4 linked regions of the Tamandua tetradactyla genome follow. The protein of the gene in region 2 purifies or fractionates together with the protein of the main gene of each other region. This does not show direct contact. Links are inferred from orthologs where the notes say so. Each region holds a gene or a part of one and is shown on either strand. Other genes may lie near its edges. The genes, in order: MRGBP, H2AZ1, EPC2 and VPS72.

Region 1 (7,826 bases), on a different chromosome or scaffold from region 2:
AGATAAACTTGAATTCCAGGTAAATAGCAAACAATTTTGGAGTAAAACTTTGTTTCAAACATTGCAAGGGATATACAACATTATTTGTCACCTGTTGAAACTCCAGTTTAAATGCACTTTTTGTATTTTGATTTGTTAAGTCTGGAAATCCAAAAAAGGAGCCTATAATTCCCACCGCCTGTCTGGAATGAGTGCAGGTGAGTCCAGAGCCCCAAAGCTTTCCACTTGCCCTGGGCAGGTGGAGTGGTGGGCAAGGTGGAGGTCCTACCAGGGGTGCTGTGGGGGTCCCACAGGTGACTCCAGAGCCCCTGGAGGTGGGACAGTCCTGCAGGCCATCAACGCAGATGCCTGCCCTATGCAAGGAACTGAGTGTCTTCAAAATGCTGGGAACGGCTCCAAGGAACAGAACCGCCAGCAGGTTTCTGGGCCAAACTGCCACTTTGGGTCCCCATAGCAGATGGGGACACCCCTGAAGATTTGATACATCCACTGAGGGCCGCAGCAGCTGGCCTGGGCCCCTGCTCCTGCGACCCCACGCAGCCCAACCTCTGATTTCTTTGAGAAGAGAAATGTCCACTTGGAATGGAACAGAAGGGCCACAGTAGGACAGGGAGACCAACCCCTCCCCTGGCCACCATGCTTGCCCATGACAGGGCAGGGATGGTCATGGTTAGGGTCAGAGACTCTGGCCCCTCAGCCTGGGAAGGAGCCCGGGAGCTGCCCTCGATGTCCCAACACCCAGAGCTGCCATGGCCCCGGCTCTCCAACATCAGCGCAGCCACGGGGGGCCGTGGGCCAGATGGGGGCTGGGAGCCCCGACCCCTCAGCACGCTCTGCTCTCGGGCGCTCCCACACCTCCTTGTGCCTGGAGGAACCCCCTCCTTGTTGCTTTTCTTGTCACCAGTCACTTATCCTCACATTATAAGATGATGTCCAAACCTCGCAGGGCCACACGGGGCAGAGCGGAAGCAGGAGGATGGGGAACAGGGGGTGGGGGGTGAGGGCCTGGGAAGGTGACCTTAAGGACAGGGGTGGGGGATGGGGGAGGGGGCTGCTCATGCCGAAGGGGGAGCCTCAGAGAGGCAGCCTGGGAGAAAGGATGAGAAAGAATAAAAGATTGTGGGTCAAGAAAAATGTGCTTTGTATAAAAAAGAAACTTTGAAATGAGATATAAACATAACAATTAAACCTTTCTTTCATTTGAGAACCCCCAGAATGGAAGGCAAGAGAGAGACTGGGTTGAGGAGGCAGCTGGGGAAGGCATGGGAGCCCCTTTCGTGTGTAGTGGATTTTGAACCACACCGACGCATCATCTGTCCGCCATGGAGCCATGGTAAAGCACAGGAGTGGAGGGAGGTGGAGGGGAACACCCGGGAGGCTGACCCAGGGGGTCAGGGCAGAGGCAAGGAGCCCAGGCCCAGCCCAGTCACCACCTCCAGCCACACCAGGGCTCCCCCATGACAGCTGAATGCCCTGGGCCACTTATGCCCCCTCTCTGGGCCACATCTGCCTCATTGCAGATTGCCAGCAGATGGGGACGCTGAGGCTTAGGCGGTCACTGGGCTTACTGGGCAGGTGGGGCTGACCCAGAGGCGGCCTCAGCCAAGAGGCAGTACTCAGCACCACCCACTCTAGCCCCGGGCAGCCAAACCCCCATCCACACACCAGAGGAGAATGCACTGTTGCTGGGCCCATTTCAGAGGGAAACTGAGGCCTGGAGTCTGGGAGGTAGGTTCTTATGGAAATTTAAAAACCAGGCGCATTTTCCCACATCTCCCTGTGGCCCCCAAGCTGCTGAGCTGGCCCGATGCGCCCCGTGCCCCACAAAACCAAAGGCAGAAGTCAGGAGAGCCCCAGGGCGGGGGGCTGCTTCCTGTGGGCCTGTGAGAGTGAGCCCAGGACCTCTGGGAAGACGCGGGGGCAGTGGAGTGGGGCCGAGCCGGCTCGCCAAGAACCCTCTGCGGCAGAAACCGAGAGCCACGGAGCGCCCCGAGAAGCGAGGCCAGAGGCGGCGAGGCCAGCAGCACACGGGGCACGGAGCTCCTGGGGGGCGGCCTCAGTTGGAAGGCGGGGCTGAGAGCAGGAGCGGAGGCCGGAGGCGGGTCAGCTTGGCGCGGGAGGGGCGACAGCTGCCAAGAGGTCCAGGGCAGGAGGGGCGGGGCGGGGCGAGGAGAGGGGGCGGGGAGAGGGCGGGGCCGCTAGGGCTTCCTCAGGCTTGAAGACCGGCCGGAGGCCCCGCCCCCGACCGCCCTGCCCAGGTCCGCCCCGGGTTCACCCTCGCCCCGACCCTTCTCCAGTTCACTCCCCCCACCCCCCGTACCCATCCGCATCCTCCATCCTTGCCTCCGACCCCATGCAAACTCATCCCCCACTTTCAGGCCCCCAGTTCAACCAGGCCCCGCCCCACTCCCAACGCACCCCCCCCGTCCCCGCCCATACCCCGCCCCCTGCCCACCCAGACCCCACTGGGCCTGGCCTCCCCCCCAGTGCACCAGGCCCCGCCCCCGGCCCTGCTCGCAGATCGCCCGGCGGGTCCCCACCGGTCCAAGCTCCAAGCTTCGACCTCATCCAGACCCCGCCCCGCCGTGGTTTCTTTTCCGGACTCGCGGTTGACTCCCACCCAGAGTTCCAGACTGCGTTGCCCGGGGTTGATCGGTCAACACCGGCGGGGGGCAGCTGTCGAGTGCAGCAGGGTCCGGGCGCCCCTTCCCTCCGGTGCACAGGTGGTCGTGGGCCCCTTGGTCCAGCTCCGGCCCAGCAGGATGGTGCTAGCCCAGCGACAAGTAAAGCCTGTTGGAACCTCCCCTCCCCACTGGAATTGTCCTTTTTTTTCCTTAACAGTTTTATTAAGATACAATTCACATATCATACAATTCACCTGTTCAAAGTGCACACTTCAAATATTTTTAATATTGTCATAGATACGTGCATTTAACACCACAAGCAACTTTAGAACATTTTAATCACCTGAAAAGAAACTCCGTGCTCATTAGCAGTCACTTCCCATTTCTCCCAAGCTCCCCAGCCCCTCCCGCCGAGGTAACCTCTAATCTGCCTTCTGTCCTATGGATTCTCCTATTCTGTAAATTTGAGATAAATGGAATCATACAAAATGTAACCTTTTGTGATGGTGTCTTTTGCTTCTTTCAGTATGCAATCTTCGAAATCTATCAATGTAATGTCATGTATCAGAACTTCTTTTCTTTACATGGCTGAATAATTTTTTGTTGGATAGATAGAACACATTCTGATTATCCATTTTGTCAATGTCCACGTGGGTGGTTTGTTCCTCTCAGCTATTGTGAATTATGCTGCTGTGATTTTTTGAGTGGACATTTGCTTTCAGGGGACTTGCTGGGTCATGTGGCAACTCTGTGTTCAACATTCTGAGAAAGGGCCTATTTTCCACAGCAGCTGCACCATTTTACCTTCTTACTAGCAATGCACGAGAGTTTCTACTTCTCCGCATCCTCACCAACACTTGTGATTGTCTCTTTTTTACTGTAGCCATCCTGATGGGTGCAGGTTGTATCTCATGGTGGTTCTGCTTTGCTTTTCCCTAATGGCTAATGATATTCAGCGTCTTTTCATGCTTTTTTGGCCATTGGTAGATCTTTAGAGAAATGTCTCTTCAAGTCCTTTGCCCATTCTTTAATTGGGTTATTTGTCTTTATATTTTTAGCTTCAAAAGTTCTTTATATAAGCAGGAGAGTAAGCCAACTCTTCACTTTGTAGTATTTCAGGTATGTGAGGTCAGCTATCAAATTCTCCACTCCACCTGCTCTCGGGGCTGAGCCTTCCCAGCTCCTTCAGCTGTTCTGAGATAGTTTCCAGACCTCTGACTGGGTGGTCTGTGGCCATCCTCTTCTGTTGGCCACGTCCCTTTTAAAATAAGATGCCCAGTATGGAGTCCCACACTGTGTCCTAAGTGTCTTCTAAATAGCATGAGACAATTTTCTGGATCTGGACAGTGCATTTCTATTCAGTATTAACGTGGCACTGATCTTTTTAGCAACTGCATCAAACTGACGACTCAGAATTGCTGATAATGCCTTCTTCAAGTAACATTTCTTGAATTCCTGTGATGTCTCAAGATGTATGCTAGGTGCGGGGAATATAAAAATAAGACATACTTCCTGCCCTCAATGAACTTACAGTGAGCATGAGTTTCCAATCAAACACTTCCCAGTCAGTTCAGTCTCCCGTATTCTATACTTTTTGCATCTAAATGCTCACCTTCATTGTTTAAGAGAAAGCTATAAAGATCAAAGGAGAAGGTGGAGTTGTAACAGTTAATAGGATTTAACAAATGAGCACGATTGCTGAATCATTACACTGATATTTCTCTTAGTTTCCAGTGTCTCGGAGCAGCTAGAAGTAAAAGCCTAAAATTGTGGAATTGTAATCCACATCAAATTCTGAAATTTGTTCTACAAGTAATTGTGTTGTGCTTTGAAATTTATTGCTTTTTTATGTTATTATTCACAATAAAAAAATTTTAAAGAAAAAACAAAACAAAACAAAAAAAAGTTCTTTATATAGTGTGGATACTAGACCTTGCAAATATTTTCTTCCGTTCTATCCCGAGGAACCCCCACTACCCTAGGGCCAGAGCAGGGCGGCTGGAAACGGTGGCCCATCCACAGCCGCTGGACAGCACTACGCGGCGCGATGCGGCCGCCAGGGGGCGCCATGAACGCGTGCCGGAGCCCGGGCCATTAACTGCGCCTGCGCTGGAGCGCGATCCCCAGCGCGCGCCTGCCCGAGCGCGCGCCTGCGCCTGCGCCTGCGCGGGCCCGTGGCCGCGCCTCCTCGCGCGGGGCTGGTGGCCAGCCGCGGCCATGGGGGAAGCGGAGGTGGGCGGCGGCGGCGCCGCGGGCGACAAGGGGCCGGGGGAGGCGGCAACGAGCCCCGCGGAGGAGACGGTGGTGTGGAGTCCCGAGGTGGAAGTGTGCCTTTTCCACGCCATGCTGGGCCACAAGCCCGTCGGTGAGCGCGCCTGAGGCCGCGCACTCGCGTGGGGGCGGGGCGGTTCCGTAACCGTCGGGGTGGGGGCGGGGCATGGGGCCAACCCTCCCCGCCGACTTTGCCCACCGCCCCCTCCTCGCAGGTGTGAACCGGCACTTCCACATGATCTGCATCCGGGACAAGTTCAGCCAGAACATCGGGCGGCAGGTCCCTTCCAAGGTCATCTGGGACCACCTGAGCACCATGTATGACATGCAGGCGCTGGTGAGGCCCCAGGGGCCCGCCCCGGGGGAGGCCGGCAGTCCCATCTTTTCTGCCCCGCCGGGTCCCGCGGCCCTGCCGGGGATATAGCTTCCGCCTGGGAGGGACGGGGCCGCTGCACAGCGTAGCGCCAGGGAGGGGGCCTGCGCTTGTGAAAAAGCCAAGCCCTCGTGGCTGGGAAATGGGGGATTGCTTGTCTGAGAGCTGGGGCTGAGCCTGAGGCCTGGGGGAGGGCGTCCCAGCAGCATCAGGGGAGCCTGCCAGCACATTCCCGGGTGTTTGGGTCCTACTCAGCCACGGGAGGTCCCAGGGAAGACGTGGGCAAGAAGGAGGCAGGGTCCCATCTGGTAAAGGTGGTCACAGGAGCTTCTGGGGAACCAGGTGGGCAGGGTTCCTGCCCTCACAGAGTTGCCTGCTGGAAGGGATGGGGAGGATTAGTGGGTCAGGATGCTAATGAAGAACAGCATGTGGCCAGCGACCTGGGGGTGCAAGGGGGATGGGGGCCAGGAGGGGTAGGAAGACCTGCGCCCTCCAGGCAGAACCTGGGGCCATAGCCGCCTCCTGACTGGGACATCTTCAAGGCTTCTGCCTGGGGTCTGTTGTACCCCCTTTCCCGGCCTTCCCTAGCTGTACATGGGAGCTGAGCACAGTCACACAGGGAGGCAGGGGGCCCGTGGCAAGCACCCTGAGACCTGTGCTGCTGTCCCTGTGAGCAGTCCATGATGAGGCTATTCTGAGCCTGGGCAGAGCCAGACCCCAAGTGATGGGCCGGTCGGCCAGGTGCATGGTCTGCTGGGGTCTGGAGTGGGTACAGGACCCGACCTAGCCCTGAGGTCTGGTTCTGCCCTCTGGCGGAGGTGTCCCCTCTCCCCACTGTGAGTCAGGACAGTGGGCACCCTCTGCACCAGCCCCTGTCATAGTGAGGCACTCGTGGCAGGGGGGCATTTGTCCAGGCCAACTGGATCCAACCGAGCCCCAACTCCAGCCCTGTATTAGGCTGGAGGCCAGGGTGCAGAGATGTAGGTGCGGCACTGACTCCCCGTCGTTGGGATGCTCCTGCCACAGTGACATGGATCTGAGGCTGCCAGGCCCACCAGTATGAGGGACAGACTTCTGGCTTGGTGGGGCCTCACACTGAGAAGTCTAGTCTCTGGGGCACTCAGAAAGCTGTCAATGCCCGCTCCATGGCTACTTCCTGTTCCTGGGGCAGCTTATTACATTCAGGGGCTGGGCAAGACTTTGGGTCATCACTTTTTTAGGCCATGGCACCCCAATATGACTGATTCCAGAATCACTCAAGATCATATAAAACGCGGAGCCCTGGCCAGCCCCCACCACCACCAAAGGGAGACAGATTTCAGGGGGACTGCTGAGTGGAGACCCTGTATCCTGCCTCCACCTCCCCACCAGTCAGGGATGCTTTCCCTTCTATCCAGCCATCCTGGTACTTGTGACTAGAGCCCAGTAGGTGTCCCCGGCTGACCCTGACCCACTTGCTCGGTTGTCCACCCTGGTTCCCGGTGGGCATGGGCGGAAGCTGGAGGGCCTCCGGCCTGGACCCTCAACTGCCCTGTGTGTGCTGCAGGTTTTGCCCAGCTTGTGCTCTCAGAATATACACTCGTGCTGAGGCTCATCTCATGTGGGCTGGGCCCATGCCCTCCCCTGAGCCACCCTGGGGGTGTTTGTGGGCGGGTGGGCTTCAGCCTGCCCTCTCAGTTGTCACAGACCCGAGTCTCCCCTCTGAGGACTGCTGAGGCTTTCATGTCATTCTTGCCTTCTGTGGGTCTGTCTGCCCAGCCCAGGCCATCGTAGGCTGTGATGGTGGGAAGAACAGGGCCCTCAGCTCTGTACCCCAGGCCGTCCTCCTCCCTTACCCCTGTGCCCCTCACCCCTGTGCCTCAGCCCACCCTCCTCCCTTACCCCTACACCCCAGCCACCATTATCCCTCACCCTTGTGCCCCAACCCACCCTCTTCCCTCAGTCCTGCGCCCCAGCCCTCCCTCTTCCCTCACCCCTACACCCTTCACCTCTGTATCCCACACCCACCCCTGCACCTCAACCCACTCTCCTCCCTCACCCCTGCACCTCATCCCTTCCTCAGCCTTGCACCACATTTATTTAAGATGATTGAGCATCATCACTGCTCCTGAGTTTTTAATCATTGGCTGAAATCACATTTTTTCTTTGTTTTTTAATAAAATAAAACATCGCATTTGACATCAGCATGAGTCTGAGATTCTTCCATTCCCAAATCCAGAGAGGAACTTCGTCCTTCCTGAAGAGATCATTCAAGAGGTCCGAGAAGGTAAGAGTCGGCGAGCTCGGGTCTGGGATTAGAAAAGGCAGGTGCGGGTGGGCCACGGTGGCTCAGCAGGCAAGAATGCTTGCCTGCCATGCCAGAGGACCCGGGTTTGATCCCCGGTGCCTGATGCCTGCCCATGTAAAAAAAAAAAAAAAAAACTCCAGATCCCTCTTGGGGAGCAAATGTTAAAATACAGTTTGAAATGCTAGTGGTAAATGAAAGCGAGGGGTAAGGGGTATGGTATGTATAGTCTTTTTTTTCTCTATTATCATTTTATTTCTTTTTCTAAATCGAT
Region 2 (6,957 bases):
ACTGCTCAAGCTATAACACTGAATGCAGAATCTCTGCTTAGTGGGCCCATATCAATAAATTCAGCCTGATCCAGCCTTATATTCCTCCCACCATTATCCCACACTCTTAGAATCCATTGCCACACATATTCCCCTGATTTCTGTCTATATAAATTGGAAAACTCACACAGTTCTTTTGGAATATAACGTACCTCCTCATGTATGATACTTTGTACCTCACCTTTAGGGGCCTGTTGGGACTTTAGTCTAGTTATAGGTCTGGAAGAAATGAGGGGTGGTGGGAGTGGGTCAGGAAAAGAATTAGAAATATCTTCCAAGCCATTTGCTTCAGGGCCTTCATTTGCAGTTTCATCTGGTGAAACAGAATTAATCACTCCAGGGCTAATCCCTTCAGGAGGAGGTTGGGTGGCCAATTCCTCAAGGCAGGCTGGAGGTGGGGCAGTGATGTCCTCAGGGAAAACTATTACAGAGTTATCTAGAGAAGACTCAGCATGATCTAGGGCTTCAACCTCACCCCCGACATCATTATCAATCCATATGTCACCATCCCATTTTTCAGGGTCCCACTCCTTTCCAATCAATGCCCTCACTTTAACGGCAGACACCATGCAAAGACTGAGATTTCAGTTTACATTGTAAAGTTGCTACTCTAACAATAAGACTCTGAATCTGATTTTCAGAGATCTCAAGTCTACAGGTACAGGAAATAAGATTTTCCTTCAGGATACTCATAGAAACGTCTACATCTTTCAGACGGCACTTAAGCTTCTTGTTTGAAGCCTTAAGCCCATCCCTTTCATCCCTTAATGTAGGCAGTGTATCTAACAACAACCAACCAACATCTCTATAACTCTTACTTCTACAAAACTCTGTAAAGGTGTCAAAAACATTATCCCCGAGTCTGGCTTCGTATAAGCGAAGCATTAGGAGAATTGAATGATGATATTTTGACTATCTCCTTTGCCAACTCAGTCCATGGATTGGGAGTGTCATTCTGATTACGAGAATCAGAGTCCTTAGTGTCTCTGGGTCCAGTCAGAGTAGAAAACCATTCATAAAAACCCATTTTTAAGATTCTGTTTCTTAAGAACCACTCCTGGTACCAAGATGTATTAGTTAGGGTTCTCTAGAGCAACAGAATCAACAGGGAACACTCGCAAATATAAAATTTATAAAAATGTCTCACGTGACCGCAGGAACGCAGAGTTTCACAGGGCAGGCTGTGAAACTGATGACTCTGATGGATGGTCTGGATGAACTCTACAGGAGAGGCTCATCAGCCGAAGCAGGAATGGGACCTGTCTCCTCTGAGTCTTCCTTAAAAGGCTTAAAAGGCTTCCCGTGAATTGAATGTATGTAATCTGTGATCCTGGAAAGTACAAAGTTGGGCAATATGGAATTCAAACTCATGACCTTGGCTTCATCAACACTGAACTAAACAGCATGGGCTTCTCTTAACATAATCATATTTATGTGTAGAATTTGGGGAGAACTACAGCCTTTGTGTCACAAAAGTTAATATACCACCCCATATATTCTTCACACTCTGTGAAACCCTTTCACAATTTTATGAGGTTGGCTTATCTGCTGCTATGTATACCTATTTAATAATAATGAGTGGCTGAGTCTGACTCAACCCAAGTTCTTTTATTCTGGGTAAATATTTTGTATTATACCATGCTGGAACTCAGTTATTGACGACTAGTCAGTCTTTGAAGGTACATTCTTTCCACGATGCCCTAAGTACAAAGAACCAAAATTCTAATTTGGATTTCCTCAGAAGTATTCTGCCATTATCTATCTAGGCTAACATCTTTGAAATAGCTGGAAAGTCTCTTCATATTTATCGCCCAAAAAAAGGTGTTTAAAGAAAGATGTGTTTGAGAAATCAGAAATTTCCAAGTATGGGATGATCTCTCGAATTCTCTACATAAAAAGTCAAAACCAACAGTAGTTGCTAGTTGCTAGTGTTTGAGAGGAGATAGTAATTAGTTGTAGAGTGTCTGGCTGAAGTAGAAAAAAAGCTATTAAGGAAAAAGGCAATAATATTAAGACCATATAATTCATATTATTAATTTTTTTCACTATTAGCATTTATTAAGTAACTTATTGGATATGGCATTAAAAATTATGTAACTATGACTACATTACATATGTATTAGCATGAACACAAGTACTAGAGAGATAAGAGGATTAATATTTTTGCATCATGGTTTTCTCCAGGACAGGAAAAGGGGTAGGAAACCATCACATAACTGCTATGAAAAGGGAAGAAATCATTATTGTTCCATTCACTTCAGGAAGAGGAAAACTGTTGAGTGTACTAAACCAATTTCAGATTTTAGATGATCTGGTTGAGTTTATCTTGAATAGGTTTCAAATTTTGCTGATTCTACATCCAAGGAATACCATTTATTACACAGGAAAAAATATTTAGGAATCAAAGATACTTTAAAGATTATTTCATCCAGCCAATGTAGAAGATAATAGTTATCGTTTACTGAGTGCCAGTTACTGTGTGCCAAACACATGCTACTGTGTACCTTGCAAACCTTTTTCCATATTTCAATAATCACATGAAACTAGGTGCTACCATAGCCACTTGGCAGAGGCTTCAACAGTTAGTAACTAAGATCATACTGTGAGGAGGAGGTAGAGCAAACTTTAAGTCTTCCAGCTCTTGAGCTCAATCACTCAATAACTAAATAACCACTATTTAGTGAAGCAAGAGCAAATTTCTTTAGCTGGGTCTCTGACGGCAAAGATCACATAGAGTAATCTCTAAACTGGATAAGGTATTAATGTTGCCTCGGATTTCCTGACGCTTCAATTGAGCTCAAACTAACTACTTCAGGTTTCTTAGCTTTTGACTGTTATTACATCAATTAAGTGGGGGAACTGACTGACTCTTGCTATTAATAACATCATAAGAACCCCTGGGTCCCCAGGGGGAGAAATAATAAAAAAGGACCTTCTCAAAATCGTTGGGAAACCATTTTCTAGGGTTTATCTCCCAGAAATAGGGAGTTTCTCTAATCTTATAAACTCTTTCAAATTGAAAGTCAATCCAAAGTACTTTAGAGTATATACGTTGAATCTGACTATCCAATTTTGTCAAAAAAATAATAAACTATTAAACATTGTAAATGTGAGTTGCTATCACTTGTTCACAAGCTGCTGGAGATGTACACAGGTGTTACCAATTTATTAGCTGGAAGATTAAGTAGCTGGCATTATGATAGTACTTTGTGTACCGCACTATTTTTTAAGCCCACCATTTGCAACTGATTACATGGACCATCTGTAACTGACTGTGAATCATGAAGAGTTCCCCTACTGGCATTTACTGAATATTTGTAGCAAAATGTTGTGTAAAAAAAGTTGACACTTAACAGTTTTAAGGTTTCACTAAATCAACTTTAAATAACAAGTTATGGGTACAATTCATTCATGCGTAGTCTCCAGAAAAATGTTAAAGTTTCTGATTTGATTAAAGAATACCGCCTCACCCCCAAGCCTCCTGTGAGGTGGACAAAAAAGGTTTTGAGTCCAGTGAAGTGCGGTTGTTCAACTGTTTGTACCCACGGAACTAAGCGGGGGTGGATTCAAAAGTGGTGAGGAAAGAGCGGGTGGAATACAGCTGAAAACGCAGAGGGAGCTGCGGGTCTCGCCTAGGAGAAATAACTGGAAGTTTATGCCTCGCGGAGCGGGACAGACCACGGGACTTCTTCTACAGGATGCGTTTACGCTACCTGTCTGACAGGAGTAGCAGCCTGGGATGCGAAGGGGGCGAAGAAGAGGGCGCCCGGGTTCCCGAAAGAAAGCTGCGCTATGCTGGCGTGCACCGTCCGGAGCAATAGAGTACACAAGGCCTGGAGGAGCTTTCACGTGGTCTCCAGAGCTCTGCTGGGGGTTTACGAAGGGGGTGGTACTGCCTGCCTCTCCCCTGAATCCCTCAGCCCCTCCTCCCGACACGTGACCGCGACCCGCTGGTCCCTGAGCTCCTGCAGCGTAGCTCGCTCTGTTTCTTCCCTCCCGCCGCTGTGTCCTTCTTCTCCCCAGTTGCCGTCCCTCCGCCCTCCCCCACCTCTCGCTTCACACGCCCCAATCGCGGCTCGAGTTGCGAAGCACCCGCCCCTCCGTCCTTTTCTTGGCCTTATCATTGGCTGAGACCTCAAGGACGCGTCCCGAGGGCGGGTGGCAGCCATTGGTGCGATGAGCAATCCGAGTTCCCGGATGAGGGAACATTCTGCAGTATAAAGGGAGCGGGGAAGGCGGGAGACAGCGCAGTTTGAATCGCGGTGCGACGAAGGAGTAGGCGGCTGGGCTTCGCTGGGGGTTTGACTAGCCCTTTCTCTGCCTTGTTTGTTTGAGCTACAGCAGAATTCGAAATGGTAAACTTAGCAGAAGAGCTTGACGACTCCGCGGGTTTTTGCCAGTGGGAGTAAGATCCGTTATACACGGGGATGGGGTGAAGTGGCGGCTGTTGGGAACGCGCGGAGACAGGATTTAGAAGATCTGGGGGAGGTGTTTTGTCGGCAGCAAGCGGAGCAGCCTCGGATCTCGTGGCGGGCGGCGACGGTTAGGTCGCGCGCGCAGGGCCACTGGGGGCGGGCGGGCGGAGGCGCGCGGCCGCGAAGAGCGCGCGGCGGGGGGCCGGCGGGCGGGGTCGCCCCCGCGGCGCGGCGGGCCGGAGACCCCAGCGGGGCCGCGCTCGCGCCCGGGTTGCGTTGCCGTGGGGGAGGGGCGCGTCGCCCTGGTAATCCTATATTCTGCGTTCCTCCTCCGCTTTCGGGCGTGTGCGCGCCGCAGGCTGGCGGTAAGGCTGGGAAGGACTCCGGAAAGGCCAAGACAAAGGCGGTTTCCCGCTCGCAGAGAGCCGGCTTGCAGGTCAGTGGATGTTCGTGCAGTGTTAGAATCGTGACCTTTTTCCTTGCACCTCGTTTCTCGTTTGTCACCGCTCTGTGGTGTTTTGTCTGTTCAGGAGAGATGTGGTGTCGCGACTTGGGTTGCCGATATGATAAATATGGGGGGGGGGGAGCCGATCACGCGTGTCGATCCTGGGGCGTGTTGCTGCACCAGCGTAGCCCGTAATCATTGCTTTGGTGCTTGTATAATTTTTCCGTCTTTGACACTTACATCTTTGTGCATTTATGTTTGTGTGTGCTTACGATTAAGTTTCCGGTGGGCCGTATTCATCGACATCTGAAATCTAGGACGACCAGCCATGGGCGTGTGGGCGCGACTGCCGCTGTATACAGCGCAGCCATCCTGGAGTACCTCACCGCAGAGGTAAATGGGTGTATACCTGTAATCTGGGAAAGGTTTTGGTTAGGGGGGGAGGAAAGGAAAGGAGGAAAGTGATGCAAGAAAACTCCCAGGCCGTAAACCCAGCGAGAAGCCTCTCAGAACGCTAGAGGGAGCTGGTGTTCAATAAGGGATCCTGTTGGGCTTGAGTTTGCAGCTCTTGGAAATAATTGGTTGCCCCCTCTGTAGTTTTTGTTTTATCTTGCCATTCAGGTAGTCGGGGAACGATGACAATGGGTAGATCTACATTCACGAAGGTTTAATTTTGCTTTCTGGGTCTTGGCCGAAGGAGATTGATTAGATTCTGCCTTCTAGGTACTTGAACTGGCAGGAAACGCATCGAAAGATTTAAAGGTAAAGCGTATTACCCCTCGTCATTTGCAACTTGCTATTCGTGGAGATGAAGAATTGGACTCTCTGATCAAGGCTACAATTGCTGGGGGTGGTATGTAACTAAAACTTTAAAATGCTTTAGAGAAAAAAAATTCTCTTCTAGTTTAAGAGGACACATTTTTATTGATGCAGTGTGGTCGTATATCGTGAAATTTGATTTATGATATGTAACTTAAAATGCATTTTTATTTGAGTGTCACGTTTTAAAGACATTTTAAGTTGAACTGTACAGTGCCTTCATTTTAAGTACTGTGTGACTTTTTAAAATATGTAGATTAAAGTAAAATTAATCCCTGTCACTCTCCTAGGTGTCATTCCACATATCCACAAATCTCTGATTGGGAAGAAAGGACAACAGAAGACTGTCTAAAGGATGCCTGGATTCCTTATTATCTCAGGACTCTAAATACTCTAACAGCTGTCCAGTGTTGGTGATTCCAGTGGACTGTATCTCTGTGAAAAACACAATTTTGCCTTTTTGTAATTCTATTTGAGCAAGTTGGAAGTTTAATTCGCTTTCCAACCAACCAAATTTCTGCATTTGAGTCTTAACCATATTTAAGTGTTACTGTGGCTTCAAAGAAGCTATTGATTCTGAAGTAGTGGGTTTTGATTGAGTTGACTGTTTTTAAAAAACTGTTTGGATTTTAATTGTGATGCAGAAGTTATAGTAACAAACATTTGGTTTTGTACAGACATTATTTCCACTCTGGTGGATAAGCTCAATAAAGGTCATATCCCAACCTAATTGTGTTTTAAATTTGCTTGATTGTAATGGGAACTTATATTTTGAATAGGCAACTCATCCAACGACATAACTAAGCACATTTTCTTCCCTTCAAATTACATTAATTCTGTAGTTCAAAGCAGATGGTTCAACTAAAATTGTTTTAAGGTTATGTAATCAGCTTTGTAAGGTTTTTAAACTGGCAGGAGTTCCTGCAGTAGGATATGATACTGTGATTTTTAGATTAAGGTTTGGCCATCTGTACATCGAGTGGTCTATGTGACACTATTACACCAGTGCACTATTTACTTTGGTGGGCTGGGGAGGGAAGTAGGGAAATCTTGAATACAGCAGTTTCCACAGAATTAACTTGACGTTTAGACTTCAAAGATAATAACAGTGTCCTTTTTGAGTGCTAGACACTTTTTAATAAGGTCTATAATAACATTTGAGGAGATACGTTACCCCTTTTTATACAAGAAAACTAGAATTTCTTTGAAAGTGGGCTATGGTTCATTCAGCATGGCTAA
Region 3 (7,931 bases), on a different chromosome or scaffold from region 2:
GGCAGCAAGGATAAGGTCAATAAGGCGTGGCTGTCACGCCTCTCAGCTGGGGCCCCAGCTAGCATAGGGCTCTGTGCCTGCTTCAGTTGTCTGAGAGGTGCCAGCAAGTCAGGAAGACTAAGCTGCCTCCACAGGCATATAGAGATCACCTTCTAAGTTACCTTCCAGAGATGCTTGAGGAGAAAAGGATGTGTGAGCGGAGACCAGGGAAGGAATCTGAGGGGCACGGATGTGACAGGATACCCAAACCAATAGCAAATGTATACTTGTAGCCCCCCAAACCCCAGGATTTCCCCCTCCAACTCCCTTTTGAAAAATAATATAAAAGGTCCAGTCAGTTCCATGGCTGTAATAATGGCTTCAGCTGAATGGCAACTGTGCTGAATTGAGAGCTGGTTTCCTCCAAGTGTGGAATTTCTCAAGGGCAAGGTAGCTGGATTGCAAAGGATCCTATTTTACCTCCCATGACCTTGCTCCAGTGAACTGTATTTCTCTGTTTCAAACTCAGTTATTTTTTAAAACTGTCATGCATTTTACTAAAGTAAGTAGGATTATATTCATCACTTCTGTGAAATTAGGCCTCTCAGAAATCCAAAGTCCTGAAATTAAATCTATGTAGCTTGCTTGCTGTTTGGACACAGATAGTGGTCCCAGTCAGATTCATCAGCTCTGTCACAAGAGCTTTACTTATTTCTGGTATCCCCATCCAAAAGCTTGAGTGAGCCACATCAATCTATTCCATGTGTGGACCAACGCCAGTGTTTTCCTGTCGGGGGTGCAGCAGCGAGTGGGGTGGGCTCTCGGTGTGATTCAAAACTGAGTATTGTGGACCCTTTGGAACTGCGTGTTTTCAAATCTGTTTCCGTTGATCACTTCTCATTTTTTCTTGGTTAATAAAATACAAAGCTTTGGGCTGATTATTTTTGTAGTGGAATTGGGAAGTAAATCGTCAGCTTATACACAAGGTGGCACCCTGTGATTCCTACCAGGTCTGAGAGGAGAGATGCTGCAAAGAGACTGAACCACAGCTACAAATTTCTGTTTACCATCTGGTATTCCCACTGTGGTGAATATAGAGGTGGAAGTACATGTTTGGCGTGCCACCTCTGAGTGCACTGTCTTTCCCCACAACACAAAGATTCAGAGCTGCCTCGGTAAAGGGCACTAGAACCAGGGGAGTGATTTCAATTGATTGCAAAGAACGCAAACTCCACATTCAGACTACATATGGAAAACAACACAGCTTTATTTGTTTATTGGTTTTGGGCTCCTTCTTGGGAATGAGGGGGAGGAGTGGGGAAGGCAGTTCACATACCAACCCAATTAACTTTCAATTGGGTTTGCTAAAACAGGGAGCCAATTAGAAAAGACATGACATTTAAGAAACTCTGAGATAGTTGAATGGTAACTGTGTTTACTAGTTTTAAGGTTCTTTTAAAAAAGTAATTTGTTCATTATTTGGAAGTTGCCTGCCCTGATAGCAGTACTGGGAAATAGAAAGTGGAATATAATCTCAATTCTTATAGTTACTTGACATTTATTCTAATTTTAGACCACATTTAGGCAATGGTTTTATTTTTGATATGGTTTATAACTGGTTCTAATTTTGGGGTGTTTATATAGATTACACTTGCTGGGCTAAATGCATGCCGTTTGGAATTGGTCTAGAGCATATCTGAAGTAGACTATGTGAAGGTCTGTACTCAGTGCATTGTACACTGAAATTAAAATAGGCTATTAAACTGCACAACCATTTTAAATAGACTTCGATAAAGACATTTTATAAGGTCTACTTTAGAAGTTGAAAAAGATATTTTCTGTTTGCAGCACTAAGAACTATATGGGTATTCAACAAATAGATTAGAAATAAACTTTATTTTATGAGAAATAATATTTATATACAAATAAAAGCTACTTTCCAAATGTGAAACAGAGGTACATTCTGGTTTGAGCACTGAACTGGAAGCCAAGAAAACACAGGCTGTGTCTCACTTGAAAAGCGTATTGTGTTATTTGACTCAAACTGTTTTATTCCCGCTCTATAATCATTGCCTACGAGGCAAAAAGGAAATGGAGCTTTGGGGAAGAAACCGATTACATGGTCAAAGCAAAAGAACAAAAGTAAAGCAACAACTACCTTAGCAAAAACCTGTCCCTATTATTGAATTTCAGATTTAAAAAAAGTTTATTTGAATTTCCTTAATTGGTTCAAAAATTCCTATACCCAAAGGTAGGAAGCTGGAGAGCAGGGTAGGTCCTAAGAGCAAATATTGGCAGCAGTGGTTAGGTCAGGTGACAGCCCAGTAAGGTACCTGAACTCTGTCTGAGATGGGGTGGAATGGGGTCAGTTTCACTGAATTTCCTGGTGGAATATCAGTCAACAACGTACGTTAGATGCCTGCTCTATGTTCAGATGTGATTGACAGAGCAGACAGTGTTCTTGCCCTTCCTGGGGCTATTACATCTTTAGGTTCTTGATTATACAATTTATAACCCATTGGTAGGAAGGGCTCAGTAATCTGGATCAACAACTTTGGAATACTGAATGGTCAATAAACAGAAGAGCTTGGCTAGCTGTGTAGGACTATTAAGAACACATGAGTTTTGGAGTAAAGCTAGACTTGGATTTGAATCTAGTCTGGATCTCAGCTTTCTTGCTGGTAAAATTACACTTCTTCACAGACTTATGAGAATTAAGTGGAATTCAATTACTTGAGCGAATACATCTATCCATTATAATATCTAGGATACTACAGAAACTCAATATTTTCTTTCTTGAGAAGGAGTAACAATAAATATAGGGAACAGAAGAAAACTATACTTTCTGAGAAGTGCTGGAAATTTAAATAGAAGTCCTGGATGACTCATTTATTTCTTCAACTATCACCTTAACTTTTCTCTCTTTCAGGCTTGAACCCAGTGCTGACCCTCTCCCAACAATGTCTTCCTTGCAGAGGACTGGAACTCCTTCAGAGTGCAGCAGTCCAGTAAGGGACATGTGCATAAGCTTAAGGAAGGTAAAGCTTACAAGAAGAAATGAGTCACAGCAACTCCATTGTTTCCAACAACAAAATGGATGGAAAACAGCTAAGCCCCAGAGTCTTGCTGGGCCAAACTGGTTAGACTGTTTAGACATAACCATGAACTCCATATCTACTATTCTGCCTTGAGGAGAGAAGAGGGCGTGAAAGGGGGAAGAGAAGGAGGAAGAGAAAGAAAAAAGGAGGGGAAAAGAAGGTAATAGAGGAAAAGATATAGTTTTGGCATCAAATGGAAATGACTGTAGGCATCTTTTTTTTTCTTTCACTGCTGGATTTAAGCAAACCATCTACCTTTCTTTGAGTTAGACAGAATATTTATCATGTATTACGAAATGTTAAGATGCATTACCCTCTTCCTAGGGATTTTGTGAGAAATCTGTAATGCTTAAGTCAAACCAAGAAACTAAACCAGATTACTTCAGCAAGAGCTCCTATTTATTTAAGACTCACCTTGATTTTCCTTTCTCCTTAGACCTTTCTCTGATCAGCTCAGGCTAAAAGTAATGTCTCCCTGCTCTGAACTCGCAATTATTGCTCGTACAACTCGTTTAGTAATCATGTGCTACTGCCTCATGTCACCTCTGGTATGGTGTTTTCAAGTATTTACATCTTTTGCTGTCATTTATCTTTCCAGCTGCCCGGTTCTTCAACTCTTTCTTTTAATGTTGTTCATCTTTCTAACTGTCCGTTAAAGTGAAAGATCATCGTGGGAAGGAATTTAATATCAAACTTCTTTGCGTCTTTCACAGCACCCAATATTTTACACAGATCTACCACTTCAAAAATGCCTACTGCCTTGGTCAAATTTTCTAAGTTTAACGTTAAAAAAAAATCTCCGCCTCAACCCGGCCCGAAATCAGAGATATATCTACCATCCTAAAAATATACTGAAGTTTGGAAGACCGGTACACTTGTTGCACCCAGCAGCCTGAAACCACTAACTCTCACTGCTGCCATTAGCATCCATACTCCCAGTGAAGGCGAGGATGAGCAAGGATGCCTTACCTTAGAGAGCTCTTTCGGTCAGGTATTAAAGAGAGTATGCGACGAAGAGGACTAGGACAGGACGAGCGTTTGGGGGTGGTGGGGGGTGTGTGGAGGGGAGGTCTGCTCCCCTCCGATTGGGCAGATTGAAAGGTCTTTTCACACTTCCAGGGGACGTGCGACTTGGAGGATGCGAATTAGCCTGCGCTCGGGCGTTTTGGAAATAAGCGCTTTATACGCACAACTTCGGGTGGTAGCTGTCGTAGCCCTGATCAGCATGTTCCATTCCCGCTCTCACACACACACACACACACACACACGCGCGCGCGCGCACACACACACACACACACTGCTCGGCACCGCCGGATTTTGCCGGAGCCTTCCTTCGGGGCGTCCAGAGAGCCGGGTGACCGGGCCGCGGAGGAAGAGGCGCACGCTCTGCCGGGCGGGATAACTTGCGCACCTGGCACCTGCCACACCGCGAGAGCGCAGGCTAGCGAGCCGAGGGTCGCCGCCGCCCCCTCTCCCCTGAGCGGCCCGAGACTGAGCAAGCTCCCGCGGGCCGGCAGCACCGCGGAGAGAGTGGGTGGGCAGGCGAGGGAGGGGAAGGGAGAGGAAGGAGGGAGGAAGGGAGGGAGAGGACGAGGCGCGTTCCTGCGACGGGGGCGCGCTCTCGCGCGGGCTGCCGGGATCGCTCGCCGCCGCTGTGGTAATGTCCGCCATGTTGGCCATGGCGCAGGGAGCGGATCGGGCGGGCGAGCGACGGATCTAGTGTGTGGAAGCGGCCGCGGGCGGCGGGGGGCTGTTTTCGGGCGGGGTGGGCGCCCATGCTGTGGCCGGGGGCAGTGAGGAGGAGGAGGAGGAGCGGGCCGGCCGCTCTGCACTGAGGAAGGAGGTGGAGGAGGAGGCGGGAGTCCTCCCCCCCTCCCCGCCCGCCCCGACGCCGCCGCCCGGGCTGTTCCTGTAAGGCGGGGAGACAATGAGTAAACTCTCCTTCCGAGCGCGGGCGCTGGACGCCGCCAAACCGCTGCCCATCTACCGCGGCAAGGATATGCCTGATCTCAACGACTGCGTCTCCATCAACCGGGCTGTGCCCCAGATGCCCACCGGGATGGAGAAGGAGGAGGAATCGGTAGGGACTCGAGTGTTTATTACCCCCCCTTCTCTCCTCCCCCCTCCCCTTTGTCAGTCGGGCCTCGCCATTCACAGAGCGCTTTACGCTCGCTGGAGGGCGCCGCTGCCGCTCCAACGCATGGGATCCTACGCCGGCGGAGTAGCGTAAACTCTCTCTGCCGGCGCAGCGCCCGCCCGCGGCCGCCATGTTGTTGCGTCCCAGTGTTGTGATTAGCTCGCAGCGCCGCTTACGCTGTCGTAAGGGGGCCTTGTCGTAAGCGGCGACCGGGAATGGCGCAGGGGATGCGCCGGCCGCACTTGGCGTAGGCCTCTGTTTACCTTTCTTTCCCCTGCCTCTGGCGCGGGGTTAATGGGTGAGGGATCCTTTGGTTCAGAAATATGTGTTCACTTCCCATTTTTAAATTTGGTTTTGCATTGGGTTCTTTTTAAAATGACGTATGGAACGTAAGGCGCTTTTAAAACAAATATTTTCCTCTCAGCAAGGTAATCCTCACTCCTCTTCCCCTCTGCCCGAGCTGGTGCAGCGGGATGAGGTGGTGCAGCATTGCGGCTGGGAGGGCGGGGGCAACGACTCCGGAGCGGGATGTAGCGTTGGAGCGGCGCGACGGGCTCGTACCTTGGCCGCGGCTCTGTTAACCTCGCCGGGACGGCCGCAGCGTTAGAAATGAACTAAGACGTTTCCGAGCGGCCGCCCGCGCTGCGCTGTGCCGGTGTTCGGTCTCGGAATTGTCAGCGGAGGGTAGTTTTTCAGAAGTTGAGGACCTAGTACTTCTAAATTGACAGATGTGTGTTTGATGAAATGCAGAAATGCTGCTTTGTCCTACCCTTATGGGTTGAATTTTGCATATGGATGAATTTCATCTGGCTTGACGAGAGTGTTTACGACTCTCGAGTGGTGTTACTTGCGTGCGAAGTTCATAGTAGCTGCATCCTCAAGAATTTCTTCAATGAACTTACGGTCCCGCCTTATTGTCAACCCCGGGTGTGTGTGGATTGGTTCTCTTGATTCTGTGACTGTCAAAAGAAGGCTCAAGGTCTCCGTGATTGGTTTTCTCTTTTGACTATTAATATTGCAGGAAATGCTTTTATGTCTTTGATTGGCTGCTGGAGTTCTGACCTCATTATGTTACCCTGTTATTACTACTTTCTGCTGTGATTTAATCGCATTTCTCTTTAGTGTTTGATTACTTGAGAGACTTAACCTTTTCAATAAAAATGAATAAAGCTGTAGTATAAGGGTGAACACTCAGTATTGTTTAAATATATAAAATAAAAATCCCAACATTTCTGCCTAAGGCTTTGAGCTGAATGCTATGTGAATTTTTTTTTTAAATTAAATTTGTTTCCAGCTTAGCTCAGTTTTCCATGCAGGATGGTTCACATAACTGAGTTTTCATTAATAACGTTTTAAAAAAGACAGGTTTGGATTTCACAAAGCTAAATTTCTATTAATATATTTTGAACCAAAAAGAAAGGTGGGTTATGAGTTTAGTATCAGTACTTTCTTTAGTTTCTTGAAATTAGTTGGGAAGAATTTGAGTCAAGAAACCTGTTCTAGAATGAACAGTTAACTCCTGGAAGATTACTTTTTGCAAACAATAATTAACAATATACCTGGTCTTTATTTTTTCGGTGTATCTTGGTATTTTATCTGAATTTAGAAGGAAAATCTGCAGTTCAATTATTTTTTTTTTATGTTGGTCATAAATAAGTTCTTAGCACCTGTTACGATTCTGTGCTATTATCTTTTTCAGTAAAACTTGTGAATTGCAGTCTAGGGCATGACTGCCAAAGTTGGATCTCTTCAGAATTGTTCAGTTTACTTCAGTTTGCTGCTGCATGCCTCAGTTTTTGAGGAAGAAGAAATCCAAATTCTGATAGAATTGAAACCCAGGACCTATGACTCTTTGTTTTGTCCTCTCTGCCTCTTTAAAGTCACTAGTGGAAGTTCTTAAACTTCCAAACAAAGCCAGACATTAAGATTTATAGTATAAAAGTCTTTTGCTTCCCAGAATGTTTAATTGGAGTGTTAGTTTTTTAAATTACATGTTAGTTTTTAATGTCAATTCATTTCTTAGTCTTATTTACAGAACTTCTTTATTAAGGAGATTTGTTCACTTTAAAACAAAATGCTATACCTTGATAAACAGTTCTAAGCAGCAGCAGTAAAGTATTTTGAATTTCACAAATTTTTGTGTTTCACTTGAATTGTATGTTCAACTGAACTTTCAGCATCTGTGTGATCCAGTTACTTTTATAAGTATTCTTAAAAATCACATGGAACTGTTTTTTTTTTTTTTTAAATCTTGGCTTATGTATTTACTAATAAACTTTACTAAAGTTTTTCCTATTTACTAATTTCTCCACAGTGTGACCACTATCTTGCTTGACTTTGCAAAATCCTGCCCTTTGACTTCGTGGATGGCTTCTGTTCCTCCACCCTACTCCCCAATAAAATTAAGTCTTCTCCTCTGTGCAGCCATTGAACTATCATCTTTGTTTATATAGTCATTGACTTGCTTTTTGAGTTACTTTCTGATATGCCTCAGGAAGGTAATCTAGGTGTTCTTTGGCATTGGTAGTGGTATTCTGTTAGTTCATTTTTTCTTTCAGACATGCAGGTATCTTTTACTGCTTTTCTTCCCTTTCCTTATTTTCGAAGGTTTGCCAGTTGGCATCTTCCTATAATTTGGTTTCTGAATTGATGCTTATGGCACTTGGTCTAAGTTAGATTATGTAAATTTATTATTTTTTTTTATTATTTTTTTTACA
Region 4 (7,943 bases), on a different chromosome or scaffold from region 2:
TAACTCTTCAATACCTTTTAAATTCTATGGCTTGTCTTCCACATTGTTTATCCAACTAACCTCGCAATCAACTTCGATTGTACCTGCTTCTCATCCTAATTCCTCTCTACTTATCGGGCCTCCATTTACCTTAGTTTCTCCACTCCCTCCGGTTTCCCTCCTATCCCCACCTTCCATTCCATCCCTTTCTGACCCTCCTCCTTCAAGTCCTCAACCCCGTCTCCTCGAACGTTTTCAACAGCTTCTCTTTTCTCAATCAAACCCATCCTTTCTTCAGACTACCCGATCCACTCAGAAATCCCCGCTATTTGAAAGCTCAGTCCTCTGGTCTCCTGCCGGCAACCCCTGGGACAGTCCAGCTACAGGTGCCCCCCCCGATCTTGTTCTTGTCCCATCACACAGCCGTCACCAGCCCCCTTCCCACGCCCTGCTTACCTGAGGACGAAGTGCAGGGAGGCACTCCGGAATCCGCAGATAAAAATCCGACCGTCGACGGCCCAGAGGCGGCCGTCGCCATCTTGGCAGCCCCCTCCCCCCTCAACGCCCTCCTTCACTTTCAACCCAGCTCTTCCTCTTCTCGGAGTCGAATCTTGCCCCGGTCTCTTCACAGAACCCGCGTCCTGCGGGCCACCTCCCCGCCCCTCCGGGGCCTCCCTCAAACACGTCGGGCCAGCTCCCGGACCGGCTCAGGGCCGCACCATTCCGCCGGCACAGGGGGAGAGCCCCCCCCTCCGCAACTTTAGCCGGTTTCCGAAGGAGGCTGCTTTCCACCTTCACAAGGGACTAGGCTCAAGCCAGCTGCCGCGACCCACGTTCAGGCCCACCAATCCCAAAGGGATAAGAGGCGGGGGGATAAATCCGGCGGAGAGACCGCCCCCTCCCCCTCTTCCTCAGCCACAGCGGGTTAATCGCCCAACCCTACCGCTCGGCTCCCGGTGTCAAGGGAAATCCGAGCACTGCGCATGCGCCTGTTTGATCTCAGCGTTCCAGCCCTCTCGGTGCGGAGGGGTGGGCGGCCCTGAGGGGAGCCGAGCCAATCGCGAGGCTGTTACCGATCACGTGAGGCGGGTTCCTCGTGCCCTAACGAATCCTCGGGTGGAAGCCAGGCGCGCCTCGGTCGGCTCACCTCTCTTACGGAGGCTTGGCGAGTCGGTCTAGGAACCTTCTTTGCCGGCTCTGGACTGCGTTCTCCGAACTTCGGCAAGAGTGTGGGGGACCACTTCTCGAAGAGCTCTGGAGAGCAGCGCTGGTGCCGAGTCAGAGACGTTAAACAGTTGCATATCGTAAAACAATACGTGTCACCAAGGATCCATCTTGACTCTTTTCCGGCGTTACCGCCTTGTTTACTATTTAGTTTAAGGTGCGTGCTTATCTTAGTTCCGAATGGCGTTCTGTGCACATCTACGTTTGGTTTGCTTCCAACACGATGCTGGCCACAGTGACAGCGTTCAGTAAATATGTAAATATGTAATAAATGAAGTATGGACACTTGGGGGAAAAAAGCCACAGAAAGCAGTTAGACCATGGTACAATCTTCCCGCGATTCAAGGCTTTAGTCTCCAACTCTCGAGTCTCTGAGTTCCAAAGGACTTTAGACATAGAGAAATTCCCCCATTCTCATGGTCTAGTCTTCGCACTAAGTCTACTCAGTTTTAACAAAGTGCCCTCGAGGTTCGGTACAGTCTCTGAACAGATTGTAAACTGCTAGAGAGCAGGGACTGTGTTTGGGTCACTCATACCTCCAATTCCTCGCTGTGACTACATTGTTGGGGCTCAAAAGTTATTTGTAGAATGAAGAAATGAAGAGGTATGGAAAATATCCAGGTTTTACAGCCCTCAAGATGGCCTAGTTATCCTCCATCCTGATGTCTTCTGAGTTGTTGAAAGGGAACCTAGAACCTAAAAGTCCATAAAATATCCCCAACATACTTACATCGGCCTTCTACCCCTCCTCCCACCAAGATCCAAGATAATTGTTTTCTTGCTGCCACCTGCTGGATTATTTTTCCTTCTTTGGGTCGAAAAGCTTCAAATGATTAGACTGCCACCCCTAATTCTACAGTAGTGAAATTGTGAAGTACTGAATTATATTATGATTGGCTATAGCAATACCCACCCCCAAAGAAACACCATAGGGAATAGCAGGGTGGGGGCACACTGCCTAGCAAAGGATTTGATTCGTGGTAGGTGTTCAATAAATACCTGTTGAGTAAATTATCCTTGTTTCCATCTAAAGCATGAGATTGTTAGCATTTCCTGAATTACTTCTTTAGCAATCATTTGATGTAGATGTAAAGCTGTTTCTGATTAACAATTGGTAAAAGACCAATAAAGCCCTAACTGACAGAGGCAGTAGGTCAAACAGAGGGCTTTTCTCCCTGGAATCTAATCTATCACTTTGATAAAAGAGTGAATTCGTGCTCGCTTCGGCAGCACATATACTAAAATTAGAACGATACAGAGAAGATTAGTATGGCCCCTGCGCAAGGATGACATGCAAATTCGTGAAGCGTTCCATATTTTAAAAAAAAAAAAGTAAATTCTATTTCATCCCTCTTGGAAGAAGAAATCCCTCTTTTGTAGCTCCTTAGGAGTCTTTGTTTCTCCTTTATGTACCAGAAAATGTTTACTATTATACTTACCACCTTGTATTGTTTTTGTCTCCCTCACAAGACTGTGACCACTTCAGGGTAAAGATTACATCTTACCCATTTTCACTTCTCAAGCATCTAGAATGGTGTTTGGCAGAGAGTAATTGTCCAATATCTGTGCTCTGAATATATGAATGAATGAAGGCAAAATTCAAGAAATGGGGCTAGGGGTGTTTAAGAAGCAGGTATCACCCATCTTTCCCCCCTAAACCTTGTCTCTGTGCTCACTCCCACTCCATTCCTGGGGTACTCTCTGAGTCATGGAGCCATTCATCCCCAGTAACATTCCTGACATAGCAGAACTGGAGTGACGTGGCAGGGTGTGGAAGCAGGGGCAGTGCAGGACAAGTTGGCTTGGTGCTCCCAAGGAAGTGGAGAAGGGAGTTCACCAATACATACTTTGGGAAGGGAGGGGGCATTCTGGTGACCTCAAAGAAGGGTTCAGGGAGACATGAACATACAGACGGGCACCTGCACATGCATGTGCACACATACGCCCACAGGACTTTAGAAAAACTTCCTTTAGTGACTTAGAACAGTTCCCAAGGTCAGAATGAAGGGGCAAGAGGCTGGCAAGAGCAAATGAGAAGCAAGAATAAGAAGATGGATGCCATAACCATTCAACTTGTCATTTATTAATTCATTCAAGGAACATTATTTAGCCCCAACTATATCCCAGGCACTGTAGAGAGTTCCTAATATACAAAATCCCTGCCCTCAAAAAGATCACGAATAATGAGGGAGACAGACACATAAATCATTACGATAATGTGTAGAGGTGTTACCATAGAGTATGTATAAGTGCTATGGTTTGACAACCATATTTTCAGAATAAAAAAGTGGGAACAAAAGTAGACACGGACCCCTGTCTACATGGGACATGACTCCCAGGGGTGTGGACCTTCCTGGCAACGTGGAACAGAAATCCTAGAATGAACTAAGACTCAGCATCAAGGGATTGAGAAAAACCCTAGAATGAGCTGAGACTCAGCATCAAGGGATTGAGAAAACCTTCTCGACCAAAACAGGGAAGAGTGAAATGGGACAAAGTGTCAATGGCTGAGAGATTCCAAACAGAGTCGAGAGGTTATCCTGGACGTTATTCTTACGCATTAAGTAGATATCACCTTTTAGTCAAGATGTAGTGGAGAGGCTGGAGGGAACTGCCTGAAAATGTACAGCTGTGTTCCAGTAGCTGTGTTTCTTGATGATGACTATATAATGATATAGCTTTCACAATGTGACTGTGTGATTGTGAAAATCTTGTGTCTGATGCTCCTTTTATCTACTTTGTCAACAGACGAGTAGAACATATGGATAAAAATAAATAATAGGGGGGAAGAAAAAAAGTAGACACAGAGTCTTGACGATACCACAGATGATATGAAATTAGAAGATACTCCAGAAAATCTAGAAGGCATGATCCCCTTGGTTACAGGATCTGTACCTCAAAAGTCAGGGATGAGTGTGAGGGAAGACTTCACTGCATTCAGAATAAGTATTTAGACGAGAAAGGCAAGGGATTCAAAGGCGAAGGAAGCACATGGGGGCATACCAGAGAATTGGGTCTTAGGGGAGTGATGCTGGAATAGGATGAATGTAGTGATGTGGCAGGAGGTGAGTCTAGAAAGGCAGGGGAAAGCTAAATTATGAAGGTAGTTTTGACCTACAAATATCTACTACATGCTTACTAAACACTGTGCTAAGACATTTGCAAGAATTATCTCTTAATCTTCATAACAGCACAGACTCCACAGGTAGGTATTACAAGTATGTCTCATCTGTAAGATGAGAAAACAAAGGCAGAGAGGTAAAGCAACTTGCCAAAGGTCACAGAACTAGATGAACTTAGATAAAATTCGAACTCAGGTCCGTCCGGCTCTAACGCTGTGCCCTTGACCACGGTTACTGCTCTGGCTCGAGTTAGCACCTTATTTCATGAGGGTGGGGAGTTATTAAAAGGTTTCTGAGCAAAAGAGTGACAGAGTCCAGTCTGGGTTTTTAGAAAAGTTCCTACTGGTAGCAGAGTGGAAAACGAATAGGAGCAAAGGGAAACGGACCTCTTCTAAAAGAAAATTGGTTGATTTCCAAATTCAGGACTTACGGTAGTAGGTGGGGCGTCAGCGTCTCCAAGTGGAATTTTTCCGTCACTCGAGTTGGCGGACTAGAGCAGGGGGCGTGGTTTCCGCCCGGGGTGGGCGGGGCTGAAGAGTAAAGCTCGGCCTAGGGGGCGGGGCTAAGAGCTCCTCGATGCTCTACTGCTTCTGACTGTACACGTTCCGCTTCTGCCGCCCACGGCCATCCGCAGGTAGTGGTGTCGAGCGCCGAGTCCCGAGTCGAGCTAGGTGACGGGATGCTGGTGGGGGCGCAGCCTCGGTGGGTAGTATGAGTTTGGCTGGGGGCCGAGCACCCCGGAAGACAGCGGGGAACCGGCTTTCTGGGCTCCTGGAGGCAGAGGAGGAAGATGAGTTCTACCAGACGACTTATGGGGGTTTCACAGAGGCAAGAGCCGGGCCCAGGAAGAGGGAGGGGAGGAAGCGAAAAGTGGAATCCTGAAGGGACAAACCCCGGACAAAGAAGTGGGGAGCGGGTAACAGAGAGAAGCCCTGGAAGCTGATACTCAAGAAGGGGGTGGGGGGGTAGTCCAAAAGGGAGAGTCCTGGACGGGGTTGGTGGGCTGAGGAATGGAGAGGCTCTCGGTGGGAGACCCTAACATGTGGCAGAAACCAAGCGTCTACTTCTCTAGTTGCATGTCTCACCCCATTTCTGACGTCCAGCACACGCAAGGCACATCTGGTCGCTCGATATATATTCCTTGGTTAACTGCTTGGTTATTCACCTGAGATGTAGAAAGGACCCTTCCGCAAAAGTAAAGGGGCTTAGCCCACTCCTTTTTCAGTTTAAAAGTCTCAATATCTCCTTAAATAACCTTTCCTTAACTGTTGTAAAAGTATCTCCATTTGTTTCCTTCATAGAACATGTTTCAATTTGTAATTAAATTTGGTTTGCTTACATGTTAATGCTTTCCTATTAGATTGTAAACTCCGTGATGGCCCGTGTTCAACAGTAAAAGACCAGTGGGACTAGTCCGGTGTCTGGACTGGACTGGCATTCGTTAAATTTTATTGACCGAATCTATCTGTTCATTATGTGCTGAGCACCCAGAGCATACAAAGCATTATGATAAGCTCTAGGGGAACAGAAAGTATTAAAAACACCGCTCTATTCTTACATATTCCAAATCCCAGTGGGGGAACTAGTCAGGTTAACAGCTAACGTATTCTAAAAATTGTATGATAAGCACTAAAATAAGAGACAGGCATAGAGGGCTATGGTATCATGGAAGCCAGAGTTGTTTGGGATTGAGATCCCCGGGGGTGTGATGTTTAAGCTGAGAATAGTTTGAAAAGTAAGCTTTGGCTAGATGAAGAGAAGTAGGGCTGGGAATAAGGCAAAGGAAACAGTCTCCAGAAGGCATGGAGTAGAATATGTAAAGGCGCTGAGATCCTGGTCTGGCCTGGAATCTGCAAGTCATCCTCCAGAGCATGAAGGAGAATGAAGATTGGTGAGGCTGGAGGGAGGAGGCTGGGCTAGATGGTGTAGGGCCTTGAGAACCGTGTTCAGGAGTTTTACTCTTCAGAGGACTGAGGAGATTCATCAGAATAGCATGATCAAATTTCTGTTTTAAACAGATCAGTCTTTAAGGAGGAGAATGGTTCAAAGGTGGCAAAACTAGAGGCAGGGAAACTAGATTAGGTAGAATCCAGGAAAGATAGAGGTGATGGTGGCCTGAGCTGAATTTGTGGCAGAGAAAGTAGGGAAACATGGACTAGATGATACAAAGAAATTAAAGAACTATAACCCACAGTACTTGATGACTGACTGGGAATCGTTACTTACATAACCCTAACCAACTAGGTTAAAATAGAAATGTCTCATCCCTCCTACAAGGCCAAGTCCCCTCTCCCCATTTTCCTATTTTTGTCATTTTACGAGTTATTTAATATGTACCAGTTGTACTTCCAAAAATAGTTTAAGGAGGCTTACACTATACACAAAAAGTAGGAACAGTAAAAATAGAGACAGATGAGAAGTAATTGTACCAGGAGCCTATGCTAAAATGGTAATAGCAATTGATAGTAAATTTAGCTGTGAGTTTCCTGGCAGCCAAATCCTGAATTTATTTATTTATTTTTGTAAGAAAGAAGCATGTAAGTTTGTCAAGAGTGACAAACTTATTCAGTATTAAATCTTAAAAGGAATTTATCATAGCATCCTTCTATAAGATGTATAAAGTAACAGGGTTTTGTAAGTGATGTAAAAAAATTCCCTTGTCTAATCATGACTATTAAGGACCCTCAAATAAAAGCCAAAGAAATGGTGGTAAACCCATAATTTAGTGAAAGCATTTCATTGAGCATTAAGCTAATGTGCAGTTGAACTACTACCCTGTAGTGATATGACTTAATACCAGATTAGAACTCAGGGGATTAATATGTTCCCAGGCTGTCTTTCACAAACATCACGTGGGAAGAAATGATAGTCATCAGTGCAAGATGGAATTTTGACTGGCTTGGAGTGTAAAGCATCTTGTTTGCTTGTTTTGGCTGCAAGTGTACCAAGGTTAGCCCATTAGTCTGCATCATAGATTGAAAAGAGAGCCACATGTTTGAGGTGCTACCCAGCCCAGTAGATTCTTCCTCCCCAAAGTGCTTTTTCTTCTTTTGCATTGTGGCTGCTATTTTAGCCCTAAACGGCATCGCCTAAGTCTAGGCTGTACCTCGTGCTCGCTGCTCCAGCCCATCTAACCACCTCCAGACTTTCTGAAACACCTTTTATACACAGTTTTCCCCTCCTCCAAATCTTCAGTGACTCTCTGTTCCCCATTGTAGGAGTACCCAACTCTTTTACTGCCCCAACACATCTAAGGAATGAGACATACTTCTCTCAGTAACTTTACTAAATCAATACTAATTTACTCATCATCAGTGTTGGGACAAGTAAGGGGATGGAGGGAACTGAGAATCACTGGCCTGCAGGTTAAAAATCATAGGTTTATTAGACTGACTACTAAGCCTTGCCATAGACTGAATGCAGTCTCCTTTTCAAATCTTTCATATCTGGAAGGTAATCAGTTAATGTTGAAGGAGACTATGGAGCCAAAGGCAATCAGCCAGGAAGACTTCTTACCAGAAACACTCTGCTTTGCTTAGGTTGAAATCCTTATTCCATAAACATTCTATATTCATTCCTGCTTTGGCACCTTTGTTTCTGCTGTTCTGTCTACCCATG

The links.
Region 1: the proteins of H2AZ1 (region 2) and MRGBP purify together in Homo sapiens (affinity purification with mass spectrometry; 4 studies listed by BioGRID and IntAct, with this or other methods). This does not show direct contact. The link is inferred for Tamandua tetradactyla from reciprocal best matches to the Homo sapiens genes H2AZ1 and MRGBP.
Region 3: the proteins of H2AZ1 (region 2) and EPC2 purify together in Homo sapiens (affinity purification with mass spectrometry; 3 studies listed by BioGRID and IntAct, with this or other methods). This does not show direct contact. The link is inferred for Tamandua tetradactyla from reciprocal best matches to the Homo sapiens genes H2AZ1 and EPC2.
Region 4: the proteins of H2AZ1 (region 2) and VPS72 purify together in Homo sapiens (affinity purification with mass spectrometry; 4 studies listed by BioGRID and IntAct, with this or other methods). This does not show direct contact. The link is inferred for Tamandua tetradactyla from reciprocal best matches to the Homo sapiens genes H2AZ1 and VPS72.

What each region holds. Positions count from the first base shown.
Region 1 is NC_135327.1:60,345,008-60,352,833, forward strand, and holds the start of MRGBP (MRG/MORF4L-binding protein), read left to right. Parts: upstream 1-4,813; 5' UTR 4,814-4,841; coding exon 4,842-4,989; intron 4,990-5,110; coding exon 5,111-5,232; intron 5,233-7,452; coding exon 7,453-7,534; intron 7,535-7,826.
Region 2 is NC_135350.1:24,382,321-24,389,277, forward strand, and holds H2AZ1 (histone H2A.Z), read left to right. Parts: upstream 1-4,209; 5' UTR 4,210-4,391; coding exon 4,392-4,394; exon of another isoform or gene 4,395-4,598; intron 4,599-4,812; coding exon 4,813-4,890; intron 4,891-5,178; coding exon 5,179-5,292; intron 5,293-5,622; coding exon 5,623-5,752; intron 5,753-6,008; coding exon 6,009-6,070; 3' UTR 6,071-6,448; downstream 6,449-6,957. UniProt on the Homo sapiens protein: Variant histone H2A which replaces conventional H2A in a subset of nucleosomes. Nucleosomes wrap and compact DNA into chromatin, limiting DNA accessibility to the cellular machineries which require DNA as a template.
Region 3 is NC_135329.1:118,546,681-118,554,611, forward strand, and holds the start of EPC2 (enhancer of polycomb homolog 2), read left to right. Parts: upstream 1-4,930; 5' UTR 4,931-5,004; coding exon 5,005-5,157; intron 5,158-7,931. UniProt on the Homo sapiens protein: May play a role in transcription or DNA repair.
Region 4 is NC_135330.1:4,370,498-4,378,440, forward strand, and holds the start of VPS72 (vacuolar protein sorting-associated protein 72 homolog), read left to right. Parts: upstream 1-4,942; 5' UTR 4,943-5,036; coding exon 5,037-5,153; intron 5,154-7,943. Other genes in the region: PIP5K1A (phosphatidylinositol 4-phosphate 5-kinase type-1 alpha), read right to left, coding at 436-517. UniProt on the Homo sapiens protein: Deposition-and-exchange histone chaperone specific for H2AZ1, specifically chaperones H2AZ1 and deposits it into nucleosomes.